Linked DNA regions of Struthio camelus. The protein of the gene in region 2 purifies or fractionates together with the protein of the main gene of each other region. This does not show direct contact. Links are inferred from orthologs where the notes say so. Each region holds a gene or a part of one and is shown on either strand. Other genes may lie near its edges.

Region 1 (7,179 bases), on a different chromosome or scaffold from region 2:
TTGAGAAATATGGCCAGCGTAAACTGCAGGCATAATCCAGTTCTCAATACTTAATTCACTGGAATGAATGAAGAAAGACTGGAGGTTACACTGTTAGCTCCCCTGTAAGTAAAACACGGTCAAGAGCACTACAAGTATCTTCCATATCTTGAAAGTACACACACAAATCATCTGAAGTAAGAACACTGTGCACAGGTCACATGATCAAAAAAGTAGGAGGGAAAGCTTAATTCATAAGAAGAACCCAAAACGTCTGTAGCAGAACGAAAAAAAAAGGATTATAGGTCAGGGTCAGCTTCACTCTTAGTAGGCTTCTTTGACTATAAACGACATGGATTTGTTGCCCTTTCTCTCTTGATGTATCAGACAGAGGAAAAGTGCAAAGATCATGATCAACACTATTTTAGACAGCTCTGAATTGACCTCAGAGTATTTTGCTGTCAAGTACTCTAAACAGGTTTTAAATATCATCTCAGTGCTGAAAAGCAATCAATCAGCACCTACAGAATAAAAATCGATCCTTACTATCAATATGCTATCTCTTTAAGCGCACAAAACGGCTCCCAAAGTTTCTTATTTATCCAACAAAAAAAGTAAGATATTGACTATTGATAGAATGACACAGCTACTTACGTACTAATTACATCATCCTTTGATTGCTGTGAATCACCATTCCATACTGAAGTAGTCAAGAGTCATTTTAAAATGGGAAGAGAAAGACAATAAAGGTCACTCTGTGCCTTGTTACCTTCTTCAGAAGTTGGGGTAAAATATTGGTCCTCATGATATTAATGAGAAAATCTTGTTCAACTTCACACATTCAGCATGTCACCACAGATGATGCTATTGCAACCTCAAAGCAGATTTTTCAGACTGAGGACAGAAAGGCTGTTCTAAACCTACAGCTCTTCAGATCAAAAGGATCAGCACTTAGGAGTACTGTCCTGTTATCCAGAGAAATAACCTGGCCTAATAACACGACATACTACTAAACAACTAAAAGTAAATTCGCAAGTCTCAGGTTTTCTTGATATGCAACATAAATATTTGACCACACTCATAAAGCACACACATAACTTCCTCCCCACAAAAAAACCAAAGTGTTCAGCAAAAGTGAAAGGATGGAAGACACAACTTGGGGCTGCTTTACACCTGCTGTATGAAAAGTTAAACGAATACGGACTGTAAATCAAAGGTAGCAAGAAGTGGACTTCAGGTATTCTGATGCAGTACACAGGACTTTACCTAAAAAGAGCTTCTTTGTCAAATACGGTGTCTGCTGGCATATTTACGGGAATAAGGAGGTCTGGATGGGAGTCAAGATGAACAAAGCTGATGTTACTGGCAGGAAGGTGCTTTGAACCAATGGCGCGATAGATGAAAGGCAGAACCTAAAACAATACGAACAAAAATATTTCAGTTATAACCAGCAAGCTGAAAAACGCAATGACGTTAATAGCAAAAATACCAGCCCCTCTCCTCTTTGCTTCTTTTGAATTTGGATTATTTCTTGGGAGAAGGAGAAGGAGACTGAAAACAAAGGGATACCACTCCAACAGCAAGACAGCCGAAGAACCGTGAATCACTATGAACCCAAGAGTTTCATACATGGCCAGTTGCTGCAGAATCATAGCTTTACTCTTTCTTTTCTTCCTTATAGGAAGTCTTGTTTGTAGTAGCTCTTCTGATTAATAATTTAATACACTGCCTAGTTTTTTTCTTTTCAACTGATCCCCAGAAATGCCGTCTCTCTTCCGCTGAAGATTACCCCCTACACTTCCTTTTCCATGCTATAAAGCTTAGCCACAACCTATGCATGGGGCTGCGGAGATACAAACTTCTGAAGCCCCACTAACAAAATGTTAACTGATACAGGGTGAAAACTGACCCGGCTACCATTTAAGCTTTAGCTGATCTTTAAACCTATTCCTCTGGAGAAAAAGTTTAATTCCCAATCCCTGCAGGACTTAGCGGCTGCAATGAAAAGACTACCTTCCCCAGCTGCCCACTTAAAAGTGAGAAAAGCAGATGGGTAGATGTGTCAATTTACGGCATAACAAAGCACTGATGTGCAATACTGTCAAGTGGGATGAGACAACTGAAGGCTAATTCACGATCCTTCTTACACTGAGCTGCAGTAGACGGAGCTTCTCCCACAGTTACAGGCCGGTAACTGCCTTAGCTGCCAGAACAAATCTAGCAAGAATTGTGAACCAGATCGCTACTATACAGGGAGCATGAAAACTATAAAAAGACTGGGCAATATAAGCTACACGGGATCTCTGTATTTAAATGCAAACTGAGCTACTTTTTAAGCATAAAACTGATTAAGATCACAAATCCTGAATAGTGAGTGTACATAACCATAAAATCTGACACTTAGTTGAAATTTGGATTGTATTTCACCAGACCGGCTATAAATTCTCAGTTTTCCCACTACTTATGCAATGATATATATCCTACTGTAATAATAGATAAAAATAAGGTTGAAAATAACAGTGATTCTCTGATCTATGATTTCCAGTTCTTCACAAAAGGCAAATGGCCTACCTGTACAACCTACAATGTTGACAGGTGAAATTAGTTTAATCTCATGGAAGTGTTAGCGCAAATTCTGAAAACAGAGCAGGATGAGGGAGGAGACAAAAGCCTAGAGTCCCTTACATTGCAAGTTCTGCTGCTTTGGGTTGAGAACAAAATTCCCTTCCCGCTAGCTGTTATTATTAATCAAAGCATGGTGCCTCTAGTGTCATCTACCCCCAGAGAAACTTCAACGTCAGTAATTCATCTGGACTATACATAGTTTCTGGGAAGTTCTTACGCTTTGAGGTAAAAGCCTATACACGTTTTATATAAGACAGATCAATGTATATACATACATATATTGAAAGTACAGCATATATATTTGGTAGGAAGAGTCTTTGTTAACCTAATTCAAAAGAGAAGTACTGAAAGCAAAATAAAGAAGAATTATTAACAGACATTATCTCAGTACTTCTATTACAGTGACACTCTTAGTCCGTGGTTACTGCAGAAAACCAGCCACCACAGCATCAACCATTTCAGCGAGTCTTGGCAAAAATAATCCTCATTAAATTATCTACTTTCAAGTTCAGAATAACGTTTCCCTTAATAAACTGTATCACGCTAGTGCTTTTGCAAAACAGCAATAGAGTTAATGCTTTTCATTTTTTTCTCCACCAGTTCTTTATGCCCCAGAAATGCTTGCTGAAATTAGTGGGCTTTTGTGCCTTTGGGTAAAGAATTTGCTTACTTTGGATTACAGCCTCAACTTGTGCTATAATAAAGAAACTCTCTGAGAAACCAGAAACAGCACTTCAAAAGCAATCCTTTGCAAAGGATTGCCTTTTTAAACTAGCTATCATTAAAAACAAGCAAACAAATAATATAAAGCACCAAATTTGACATCTCTCAGCTACTGACAGTCAATGTGCTGGTTAGAGTGTGCCTCATACGTTGCGTAGGCCTGAGTTTCTAAGCAGTACGCTAGGACCTAGCTAATTCCAGAAGCAGTAAAACGTGGGTGTTATTTTCTTTTAAACACAGAAACCATGGGGGAAAAAAAAAAAAAAAGAGAAAGAGAGTGAAATAACTACTTAAAACCCCACCAGCCTGCCCTAATGGCACCAGCTACATGCATCACTGGATCACGACGGGGCTCCACATCATCTGGACACTGAACTTCACTCGTGTGCCACTAGCCAGACCGGCCCGAGGAGGCTGGTTTTCGCGCCCCCAGGGCAGCGGGCACGGCTGGAAGAAGAAACCGAGAAAGACAGAAAAGGGTTTGTTTTTTTTTTTAACCCCCCCAAATACCCACGGCCCAGAGAAAGGCCGCGACCCGCCTCTCCCCTGCCGCTACTACCCGAGGGGCGGCCGGGCCGGGCCGGGCCGGGACCCCGGCGGGGGGGATGGTGGTGGGGCCCCGGGAGGCGGCTGCACCCGCTGAAGTGACGGGCCTGGGGCTGGGCCGGGCGCGCCGCGCACTCACTCACATCCTGGTGGTCCTCCACCACCCACACCGGCAGCACCGGGTAGGCCCTCCGGCCGGCCCCGGCGGGGCGCTCCCCGGGCGGGCGGCCCCCACCGCTCATGTCACGGCGGCCCGGCTCCCTCCGGGTGGCGGCGGCGGCTTCCGCCCGCGGCGCCCCGCCCCGCGCCTTCCTCTTCCGGAGCCGGCGCGGGCGGCGGCGGCGGCGGCGGCGGGGCAGCAGGTGGGCTGCGCGGGTGCGTGCCCCTCCCGGGCCGGGGCGAAGCAGCGCATCGACCGCCGCCGTGGCGACGTGGCCCCGCGGGCCGTTGTGATGGCGCAGCCCCGCTGGCCGAGGGGCGGCCGGGGCGCCGCGCGGGGCTCGGCGGCGGCTGGCGGTCGTTGCCGCTGCGGTGATCGCCGGCCGTGCGTAAACCTGCCCTTCCCGCGCGGGCGAAACTGGCGCCGTTTGAGGGCAGGCGGCGGGCGGTGCCGGCCCGGGCCGCCCTGAGGGCAGGGCCCCGTCGCGCCGGCCCTGCGCCGGGGCGGGTGTCCGCGCGTGTCCGTGTCCGTGTGGCGCAACGGGTTTCTCTTTGTGGGTGGAAGGAAGGGCATGACTCGTCATCGGTTTTTTCCCACTGAAGTTCAAAGCGAACCTGAACGCGGTGAAAAATTGCAGCAGCGGGAGCTTTAAAATAACCTGAAATAATTTTTTTTTTTTTTTTTTTGCCTTCCCTGCTGCCTTTGGCTCTGCGTTTCGGTGCGTTCTGAAGTGCTTGAACTGTGATCGCAGAAACCAGAGGAAACCTCTGAAGGTGCAGATAAGCTCGGAGAGAGCTGGTAAAGGAGACCTTTTGTTTGAATGCACTGGCACGTGTTAAGAAGAAACGTGCCTTACGTTAAGGCACCAGTACAGTACAGTACAGTGGGTTTCCCTTTACTTCATTCAAGGGGATAAAAGATTGGCTCAGCCTGTTTAAATAAAATTTGTATGTAAATGTCAGCAAAGCACAAAACAGTGTACTGGCAGAAGCCTGCGCTAGGTGAGTTATAACTGCTGACCTGAGGAAAAATGGTCCAGCGTTTAATGGACTAGAATTAAGGATGACAGAAAGTAGCGCTGCTGCCAGACAAACTCGTGAAGGTGTGGAGTAGATTTTTTTTTCCCTGTCATTTCTTTTTGAGACCCTTTAAAAGACCTGAGGGTACTGAACAGACCGGGGTTGCCTGGAAGGAATCAGTCAGTGGCTTTACATGTCTGCTACCTCCTAGAAACGTGTTGATCCGCCCTTATCCTGCTGGCCTTTGTTGTCCACTTGCTCAAACGAGGGAGGAAATGCCCCACCACCACTTCCAGTGGCTTCAACCAAGCCCTGAGCATGGGACGGGAGACTTGGGGTCCTCCTGGTACCTCTTCCTCAATGTGCATCCTTTCCCCCTGTTTCATTTCTTTTCCGTTTTTTCCCTTCGGTTCACTAGCAGAAGTCTGGCATCAGTCAGCAAGCTTCATCCTTTGCAGCGCTGGGACCAGAATGCAGCCAAAAGTAGTACTCTGAGCAGCCCACGTTTGCCGGGTTACAGGGTAGCAGGTGGGAGACTATTCCCTATGTGTACTTCTGCATCGGTAAAGCCACTGTAAAAAGGAGGCTTTGTTTTCTGTGTCTGGTGATCTTTCCGCATACGTGTTTATGTGTCTCTCTCTTATAGAGAACAGGATTTGACATTTGCAGCTGCAGGATCAACTGTTTTTTTCCCCCTCTCTCCCTCCCTTCCACCCAACATATCATTGTTGATGTTTTATTTTAAATATTTTTTCCTTTTTCCCAGTTTTTGAATTTTGAACATTTTAATGAAAAACTAATTTTAACTTCAATATGCCACAGCAGTTTTCATTTTTAAACTTTAATACCGTAGTACATTACATACAACACATGCTTTTGAGCAAGACTTCAGCCCGCTTAGAGCAGTGCCTATTGCCAGCAAGGTAACACGGCCAATTAGGTACTTCAGGAATTTTGAAAATGTTTGTTTATTGAAATTGGAACAAACCACAGTCCACGTACGTTTTTGTGGGTCACAGTAAATTTTTATGTACCTAACTTTAAAATATCTGTTGAATTCAGTCCTGTACGAAATTGGGACTTAACTGTGAATATAAATTCCCATTATCTTGTTTAAGATTTATGTGATTTTTTTTCACTGGACCAGGCAACTCACGATGGCATGTTAGTAAAGTTGTTCTACCTGAAGTTTAGAATAGTGTTCTAGGAAGAACTCCTTGATGTAAGACCTTGGATGACTCCTACCTTTGTTAAAATGAGCGATCTCTTTGGTGTGGGTGTCTGAAGACTTTATATTAAAGCATCCATGACCATGAGGGTATGGTCCCACCTGGATTCTGGATTAGAGGCAGGAGAGTGCATTAGTGGATTAGAGACTTAGGGGAATCTTGGGGGAATAATGACCTGTACTACAGCACTGAGGAGCACAAAGCTCACAATGAAAGCCAGTGGTCGTCATCTGCTGCTCCTATTAAAAGAAACTGCAGAAATCATAATTTAAGCACTTTGTGCATTTCCTGGAACTACTTCCAAAGAACCTCATAGAAAAACTTTGTGACACTGTACATTTATTTATTTTCTTCTTTAAAGGTGAGCCATGTCTTTCCATTCCGGACGAGGGTGTCCCCGCGGCCAGGGGGGACCAGGAGCACGAACTTCAACACAGACCTACCGACCTCAGAACCTACGGCAGCTTCACCCACAGCAGCCCTCTGTGCAATACCAGTATGACCAGCAAACGGCCCCTCCGACAACCTATTCAAACCCTCCAGCCACTGGTTACATGCCTCCCAGGCCAGACTTTGTGCCGTATCCTCCTCCAGTGCCCCCTTCCACACAGAGTCCCATCAGCCAGTGTCCCATGAGGCCACCTTTTCCAAACCATCAGATGAGGCAGGGTTTCCCAGTGCCTCCGTGCTTCCCTCCCGCTCCTCCACCAGTGCCAAATCCTAGCAATACTCCTGTGCCAGGAACTCCGACGGGGCAAAACACATTTCCTTACATGATGCCGCCCCCGACAGTACCGCATCCTCCCCCACCCCCAGTCATACCGCAGCAAGTCAACTACCAGCCTGTTTACTCCGCAGGGTATTCACAGCAGTCATTCCCCCCTCCGAACTTCAATAG
Region 2 (7,074 bases):
GGATCTCCCTATATTTAGGCTTACTTTGTGTCCCTTCAAGCCATTCAGCTGTAACCCTCCCTGTCCTTCCTCCTCCTCAGTTCTCACCAAAACGGGAGCTGGGCCAAAAGGCGCACAGCCACATTACTCTTCCAACTCCACAACAATAGGCATAGGACAGAAGAGTAGGCTAGACAAGTAGAACTTTTCCCAGTGAAGATCTGAGACAGGCAGTCAGATGATTCTTCCGGCTTCCCAGAAGATTTGGGGTAGTTTTACTGAAGACGACACACACAGGTTCTCACCTTCATATTACCAAGAATCTTTGCCTGCTCTCCTTCACCAAAACAGGACACTTGGATCAATGCTTTTGCTCCTCCACCAATTAAAATAAATAAGTAAATAAAACTTTAAGAGGGGTAGGAGGGAAGAAAGAGGAACAACTTGAAATTGCAGAAAGAACTTTGTTGACCATTCCATTGGGGGGAAAAAAAAAAAAAAACAAACTTACACATGGAACTGTAATTAGCACTTAAGAGGGGCTTCTTTAAATAACCCATTTAGGCTGGTCTTATCTGAACCTAAATAGCAGCAATTTTAACTACTGGAAGATGAAAAACCGAGATAACTATCTAGTTTTGCACTTTGCACAGTCAATTTTCATTTGTTTTAACCTTTTCTCTATAAGTGTTTTTTCTCCCTGTTTTTTTTAACCAGATTGGATTGATAGCAAACCTAAAGCAGGTGGTAGCTCATTTCTAAAGTGAAAGACAATTTGGATTACTTCAAATGTCTTCAGAACATTCTTTGCAACATTATACTTACCAATGACAAGATGACTTTAAATACTTACCAGTCTTTAATTTTAAAGAGTCAGCTGTTTCATCCTTTTTTACTGTCTCTCATATAGGAAAAATTACGAGTGTATAATCCAACCAACTACCATTGAACATCAGACGTTAAAAGGACGTTCCGTGTGTTTCAGGATGCAAGCTTAGGTTTTAAGAAAAGGTCTTACAAGAACCCAGTTAAGCTTGTTTTAGAAGATTTAGCTAGAACAGCTTTGCATTTAAACAGCATAAACCTTGTAGTACTGCACCTCTAAGTTAGAGGCTAATACAGGGTTCTTTTCACTATCTGACACAGAGCACAATGTACAAGCAAGTTTCTTTACTTTCTGAGGTAGGATCTAGTAAACCTATGATGCTAGAAAACAGATTTGAGGAAGAGTGCAATTTAAGAAGATAAGCACAGCATTTTACAAATAGTATGGCTCCTCACTCAAAGCAAGGTTAGCAGCAAAATCGACAGCTAACCAGCGGTGCTGGTAAGTACTGGTTCTAGTTATTTCATTAAAAAGGATTTTTAGAAAACATGCCAGAACTGAAAGTTATCATTCCACAGTTTCAGGATTCGTATAAATAACAGTCTTACCAACTGCAGCCGTGGACTCTATTGGTAGAGTCAGTATTGTTTGTCTGCAGCTGGACAGAGAAAGTAGGCAGGCATATAATGAAACAAATGATTATTCATTCAGAAATTAAGACACAGATAATACTATAGAAGAAGAGGCTCTGTAAAACTGCCCTAACGCTATCTTCAAGATATTCAGTGGTGTCTAGCAAGCCATGCAGAAATATATATACACACATCTCCTAAAGGGTTTCATTTGATCTTCCTCACCTCTCAGAACTCGTCTCAAAACGACTGAATCCTTGCTGGAGGCAATAATCGACCAGAAAATTCAAAAAAAAAAAACCCTCAAACTGATCTGTCAGAGGAAATGACTAAGAAAGAACTACTCTAAGTCTAAAAAAAAAAACCTATCCAGCTCCCAACCCCCCAAGCCTTAGCAAATACCTTTGATTCCTAGGCATAAGCAAGTATAAAAATCTCATAAGATATCAGAGTTTTTGCACAAAAAAAGCAGCATTTTACTGAGCATACGGGACCGGCTCTAGGATTTACACCACCTTTCACTAGAAAGGAACCCATAAGCAGCACTGAACGCAGCACTCAAAGCATTCTGTTAGAAGCCATTGCTTAATATTTACTCTAGATCTTTTAATTTTTATATCTGCATCCAAAAGCTCACCACACATAAAGACCTGCGAAATTCCTGTGGTAGGAAAGAAGCCACATAAAAGCATTAAAGTCAGAGAAAGAAGCAAACGGCACATCGTAACGTTTTTAGGACAAGATTAAAAGGAGGAGGAACAAAAAATAAAAAAAAAAAAAAAAAGAAAAGCAGGGGAAAAGAGTCAAGAGAGGCCGGTTTCCGAAGCCAGCAGCTGCTGAAGGGCCGGGGGACTCGCAGAGAGGGGGCTCGTCCCGCGGCCCGGAGGGGCAGGAGGCGGAGCGAAACGGGCGGCCGGGCGCGGCGGGAGCAGGGGGCGGCGGCGCCGTCACGGCCTCGGGGAACCCCGGCGGCGGCAGCGCCACGAAACGCGCCTCCGGCGAAACCCGCGTCAACCGCCGCCCCCACCGGGCACCCAGCCTCCGCGGCGGCCTGGACCGAGCTGCAGCGGCCCGGCGCCACCCTCCCCCCGCCGGGCCGGGCCGCCTCAGCGCCGCGGGGAAGGGGGGGGGGGGAGGCCGCCGGGCCTAACAAAGCGGCGGGAGCCGCGGGGAGCCCCCTCGGCGGGAGGCCGGGGCCGCACTCACTTCCTCTGGGCCTTGTCCTTCTTGGCTTTGGTCCGCTTCTTCCGGGCCTGCAGCGCCAGCACTGCGGGGAGACAAGAGAGGCGTGAGGGGTGCGGGGGAGGGGGATGGGGAGGGGGGAGCGGCGCGGCGGCGGGGGGGGGGGGGGGAAGGGGGCGCGGCGCTCACCTTTCCGCTCCATGGCCGCTAGCGCCGGTGGCCCCGGGTGCCCCGCGCGCCTGCGCGCTGGGCCCGTCCCCTGCGCCGCGCCAGGCCGCGCCGGGCGGAGCATGCGCGGCTTGAGCACCTTCGCGCGCCGCGGCGCGCGCCACCACGCGGCCTCGCCCTCGTCGTCGTTGTTATGGCGGCGGCGGCCGCCGCCCCCGCCCCCGCCGCTGCTGCTGCTGCTACTGCTGCTGCTACTGCTGGCGGCGCCGCTGCTCGAGCTGCTGCTGGGGGAGAGGCTGGAGCCGGGGCCGCCCGGGGAGGCCCCGCCCCCCCGCTCCTGGCCCCGCCCCCGCCCGCCCGCCGCGGGCCCTGGCGCCGCCTCCGGCAGGGACATGGTGCCGAGCGCGCACGCGCGGCGCCGGGGAGCGCGGCCGGGGCGCGCACGGCTTGTGACGTCGACGCTTGCGTGTGTGGCGTCAGCGCCGCGGGCGCGCGCGTGACGTCAGGCGGAGGGGTGGGGGGGGGCGCGCCGGGGTCGGCACGGAGCCTCCGCCGTCCCGCGGCGCGCCCGCAGGAGTGACGCGGGCGAGCCCCAACCGCCCCCGCGCGTGGCGCCATCGTGGCGAACGCTCCCGCGGCGTGTCAGCTCTGCTCGCCACGGCGGCCGGGGACCTTGGTCACCTGCTGGCCCGTGAAGCGCGCGCAGGCGTTGGCGTCGCCGGATGGTGGCGGCGACCTGCTGGCCAGAACGTACCCGGCTTCGTCGCGTTTGGCGTTGAGGAGCTCGGTGGGCGCTGTGCCGCCTGTAACGGCTCGAAACGCCCGTCGGGGCTTAGATGCCCACGGTTCCGTAACGTAGGTCACGCGAAGCGTTTGACTTGTAGGCTGCTGGGTTACCTGAGCATCTCGCTGTAAGTACTTGAAACTGAAGGCTACAAATTCCTGGGAAGCGGTACCCGCCTGCCGGGCCGTCCCCCCTCCGCGGCTGTGCTCAACGCCCGTTTAGCCCGAACGGCGGCCGGTGCCGCCAGCAGAGGGAGCCGCCGGCGGCGGCAGCAGCGGCCCTTGGGCATCGGGCTCCGCGCGGGGCGGCGGCTACGGGTGCGCGGGCGCGCAGTCTCGGGAGGCGCAAGGAAGAGCCCTCTTCCTAACTTCCTAGTTGCTGCCGTATTGCTCACGGCAAGCTCTGGGAATGAAATACGTCTACCTGTTCTCCTGCAAAGGGTTTTAAGTGAGGAACTAGAACGCTGGAGTGCCTGGTATTCATGCAACGCAGCGGGAAAAGGGCAGCCCCCCCACGCCCTTGGGTAAAGGGGGAACGTGGACCTTCTTTACGCAACTGCTGCATTCAAACTAAGGTTGAGCTTTAAGCATGATGGAGCCTCTCCTTTGCTAGTAACCTACCGTACAGCAACCCTGTAGGAAAACTTCCACCTCACAGAAGTCACAATATAAGCAGTCCGCAGGGAGAGAAGCTATTACAATCTCAGTTTACAGGCGGCACGTTCCTGTGCCTTAAGTGGGATCTGTCGTCCTGTGTTTGTAATAAATGACTCGCGCGGTTGGCTCTGACAAGGTGTGTTCACACCTACCGTGACTACTGCTCCATTTCATACTTCCTGTGGCCTAGGCCAGGCTTCTGCAACCTGCGGCGAGGACACCAAAGGTGGCACGTGGCCAGATTTGGAAAGCAACAGAGCAAAGCAAGCACAGAGACGGGGATCACAGGCCCTCGGGTGGTAGCTCCCGAGGACCCCCTGCCTGCACTGTGGTCTGAACGGGGAGCCTCGTGCAGAGGTCTCACGCAGAAGCAAGGTATTACTGATCAGTGGTAGGAGCGTCTTTCGCTGCTGCTGAGTTTCTTCCAGGACTCTTCCAACCTGGGATAGAAAAATAGAATCTGAAGTAGCACCCTCGAAGGGTTGCTGACCCCAAGCCAAGACAGCCTTGTCTTTCCACACAACAGCCTGGCACTATTTAATAAATGTCCCCTAACTATGCCCATACATAACCGGTTTATCTCGTCTTTCTTCATAACTCCCTGTGCAGTGTGACACACCACAGTGCGTTGCCCCAAGAACTGCTTCTGCCACTCTGTGCATGACTCCAGAGGTTCCTCTACTGCTTTATGTCTTTTGTAGCCATTACAAACTGATGTAAAATGTTAACAGAATGACAATGGGGGTTTGGGGGGTTACACACGCTTTGTGCTCTGCAATGATAAAAGGCATGATGATGTTTCTAATGCAGTGCTATGGCAGAGCTGCCTGGGTTTCTGCAGCGTGCCCTGCTACAAAAACATGGCATCGCACTAGCTGCGAAGGGCATCAAACAACTGTAGTTGTTGCAACTAGTTGTTGCAAGGTGAGAACGTCAAGCTGCCTACAAACACAAGATTACAGACAGGCCTTTGAACTCTGACTTCTACTTCTGTGGCTTTTTAGAGGTATAGGTGGAGTCCTTGGCCATAAAGTACGTGCTTTGTCACTTCACGGCCTGTGTCCAGGGACTGGTGCTTGGCTAGACACAGAAGCCTTGTCTATGTATGCAGGAGCAGAGTTAAGTCACTGCACAGCTATAAGGGAAAAAGATCAGAATTGTCTGGACTTCCTCTCAGCAAGATATTTGTTTTGCAACATGAATACCCATAATTTGAAAGCTCACATACTGACGTCAGAGTTGTCCCCTGCTGCTCAACTGTGCACAGTCATGGGGGTGGGAAGGAAAGATTCAGATCTGTGCTGAGCAAGCCAACAAAAAAATCTCTAAAGTTTGCAATGGAGACTTGCCATGCTGCCAGGAGTTAGGAAAGCCATTTCATCCTAAATCAAGGCTGCCATAGGAGAGCCAACAGAATCTGGAAATTAGGGTTATGCTTTTCATGGTTTTCATATTACTCTGTTTTGAACAGAGCTGAGAGGAGTTTGGCTTGAAGCCACTGTCCAAAACAATGCAGGGAAGCATATGTGGTTTGAGAATTACTCAATACTATTTAAGCTTTCAGTTTTTCCTGTCTTTCAATCCAAAAGGTATGAAGGCTCCAGGACTCCGTTTCCTCCACAGTAAGCAACTCTACCCAGAATGTTCACTAAAATCATTTACCATTGCAGTTTACATATGCAGTACTATGTCTTTCCTCCAGAAACTGCTTGGAAACAATAAGAATTTAAAGGAAAAAAGAGAAACAGATGAGAAGGACTCACTGGAATACATTACAGATAGTTTAATATTAATATTCCTATTATCATTGCTAAAACTTAACAGCCAGAAGCAGCAGAATCCAGAGAAGCCACCTTGAGAAACCACACAACGCCCAGCAGCAAAACTTAGAGCTGTTCACAGCTGAAGGAATTTAGCCCAGAGCATAGTATCTGCTCATAAAGGATGCATCACTTACTTAAATCAAATCTTTGCCCTAAAGTAGGGTCTGAATGGTATATAGACACCTACCCCTACCTACTGGCTACCCATCCAAAATTAGTTTCACCTACAACTCTTCACACTAGGCAATTTGAGCCATGGGATAATCGTCCAGATGAGGGCATGGTAAAGACTTGTGAGGTATATTGCTCATATAGTTAAAAGCTGCTGCTTTCAGTGCAATCCTAGTTCACGCATCTGTATTTGTATTACTGCTTCAAACTATGGCTGATCTAAAGAAAAAATCGTTAAGTTGATTTTTTTTTCCCCCAAGCACTAAGTGCATCTTATTCTAATTTTCCTGGCTCTTCAGAACAAAGTGAATGCACTCCTCCATTCTTCGCTATTTCAGTAAAGGACTACCAAAACCTGAAAAAAAAAATTTGTTTACTAGGATTTAGTTATAGTTGAACAGAAAGGGAACAAGTTAAAAATACTTAAAGGACAGATGTCATGTTATGATGGTGCAGACAATATCAATTTCAAAGTGTGGAATATTAATAATAAAATGCTTTTCTGTAAAGCTTCACATAATTCTACATACATCTGAAGATAATGAAACTGCCTGCATGTAACCTGTTGAAATGCAGCAGATTAGATTCATTAACTAGCAAGCAATAAATATATAAAAAGTGCTAAGCTAGAGCATTTAAACAAACATCTACAGACTTTCAGAAAAGGAGTGCAAGTCATTTGATAATTCCAAGCTTTATAGCTAATTCTGTCTTGTGCTTTGACATTTTTCTGCTTTCTTCATTGCTGGGTAGCATATGTATTTGGAAGCGCTTCAAAGTAATAATATAAATGTTGCTTTTTGTTCAGAACAACAGAATTACTGTAGGCATTAGCCAAGCTGTCTATTTTAAG

The links. Proteins that work in one complex are often made in the same cells at the same time.
Region 1: the proteins of SRPK1 (region 2) and DROSHA purify together in Homo sapiens (affinity purification with mass spectrometry; 3 studies listed by BioGRID and IntAct, counting the BioPlex papers as one, with this or other methods). This does not show direct contact. The link is inferred for Struthio camelus from reciprocal best matches to the Homo sapiens genes SRPK1 and DROSHA.

Annotation. Positions count from the first base shown.
Region 1 is NC_090943.1:91,265,959-91,273,137, reverse strand, and holds the start of DROSHA (ribonuclease 3), read left to right. Parts: upstream 1-4,179; 5' UTR 4,180-4,235; exon of another isoform or gene 4,236-4,248; intron 4,249-5,468; exon of another isoform or gene 5,469-5,580; intron 5,581-6,642; 5' UTR 6,643-6,649; coding exon 6,650-7,179. Other genes in the region: C2H5orf22 (UPF0489 protein C5orf22 homolog), read right to left, coding at 1-58, 1,246-1,391, 4,017-4,115. UniProt on the Homo sapiens protein: Ribonuclease III double-stranded (ds) RNA-specific endoribonuclease that is involved in the initial step of microRNA (miRNA) biogenesis.
Region 2 is NC_090965.1:5,012,533-5,019,606, reverse strand, and holds the start of SRPK1 (SRSF protein kinase 1), read right to left. Parts: upstream 3,105-7,074; 5' UTR 2,912-3,104; coding exon 2,809-2,911; intron 2,705-2,808; coding exon 2,644-2,704; intron 1-2,643. UniProt on the Homo sapiens protein: Serine/arginine-rich protein-specific kinase which specifically phosphorylates its substrates at serine residues located in regions rich in arginine/serine dipeptides, known as RS domains and is involved in the phosphorylation of SR splicing factors and the regulation of splicing.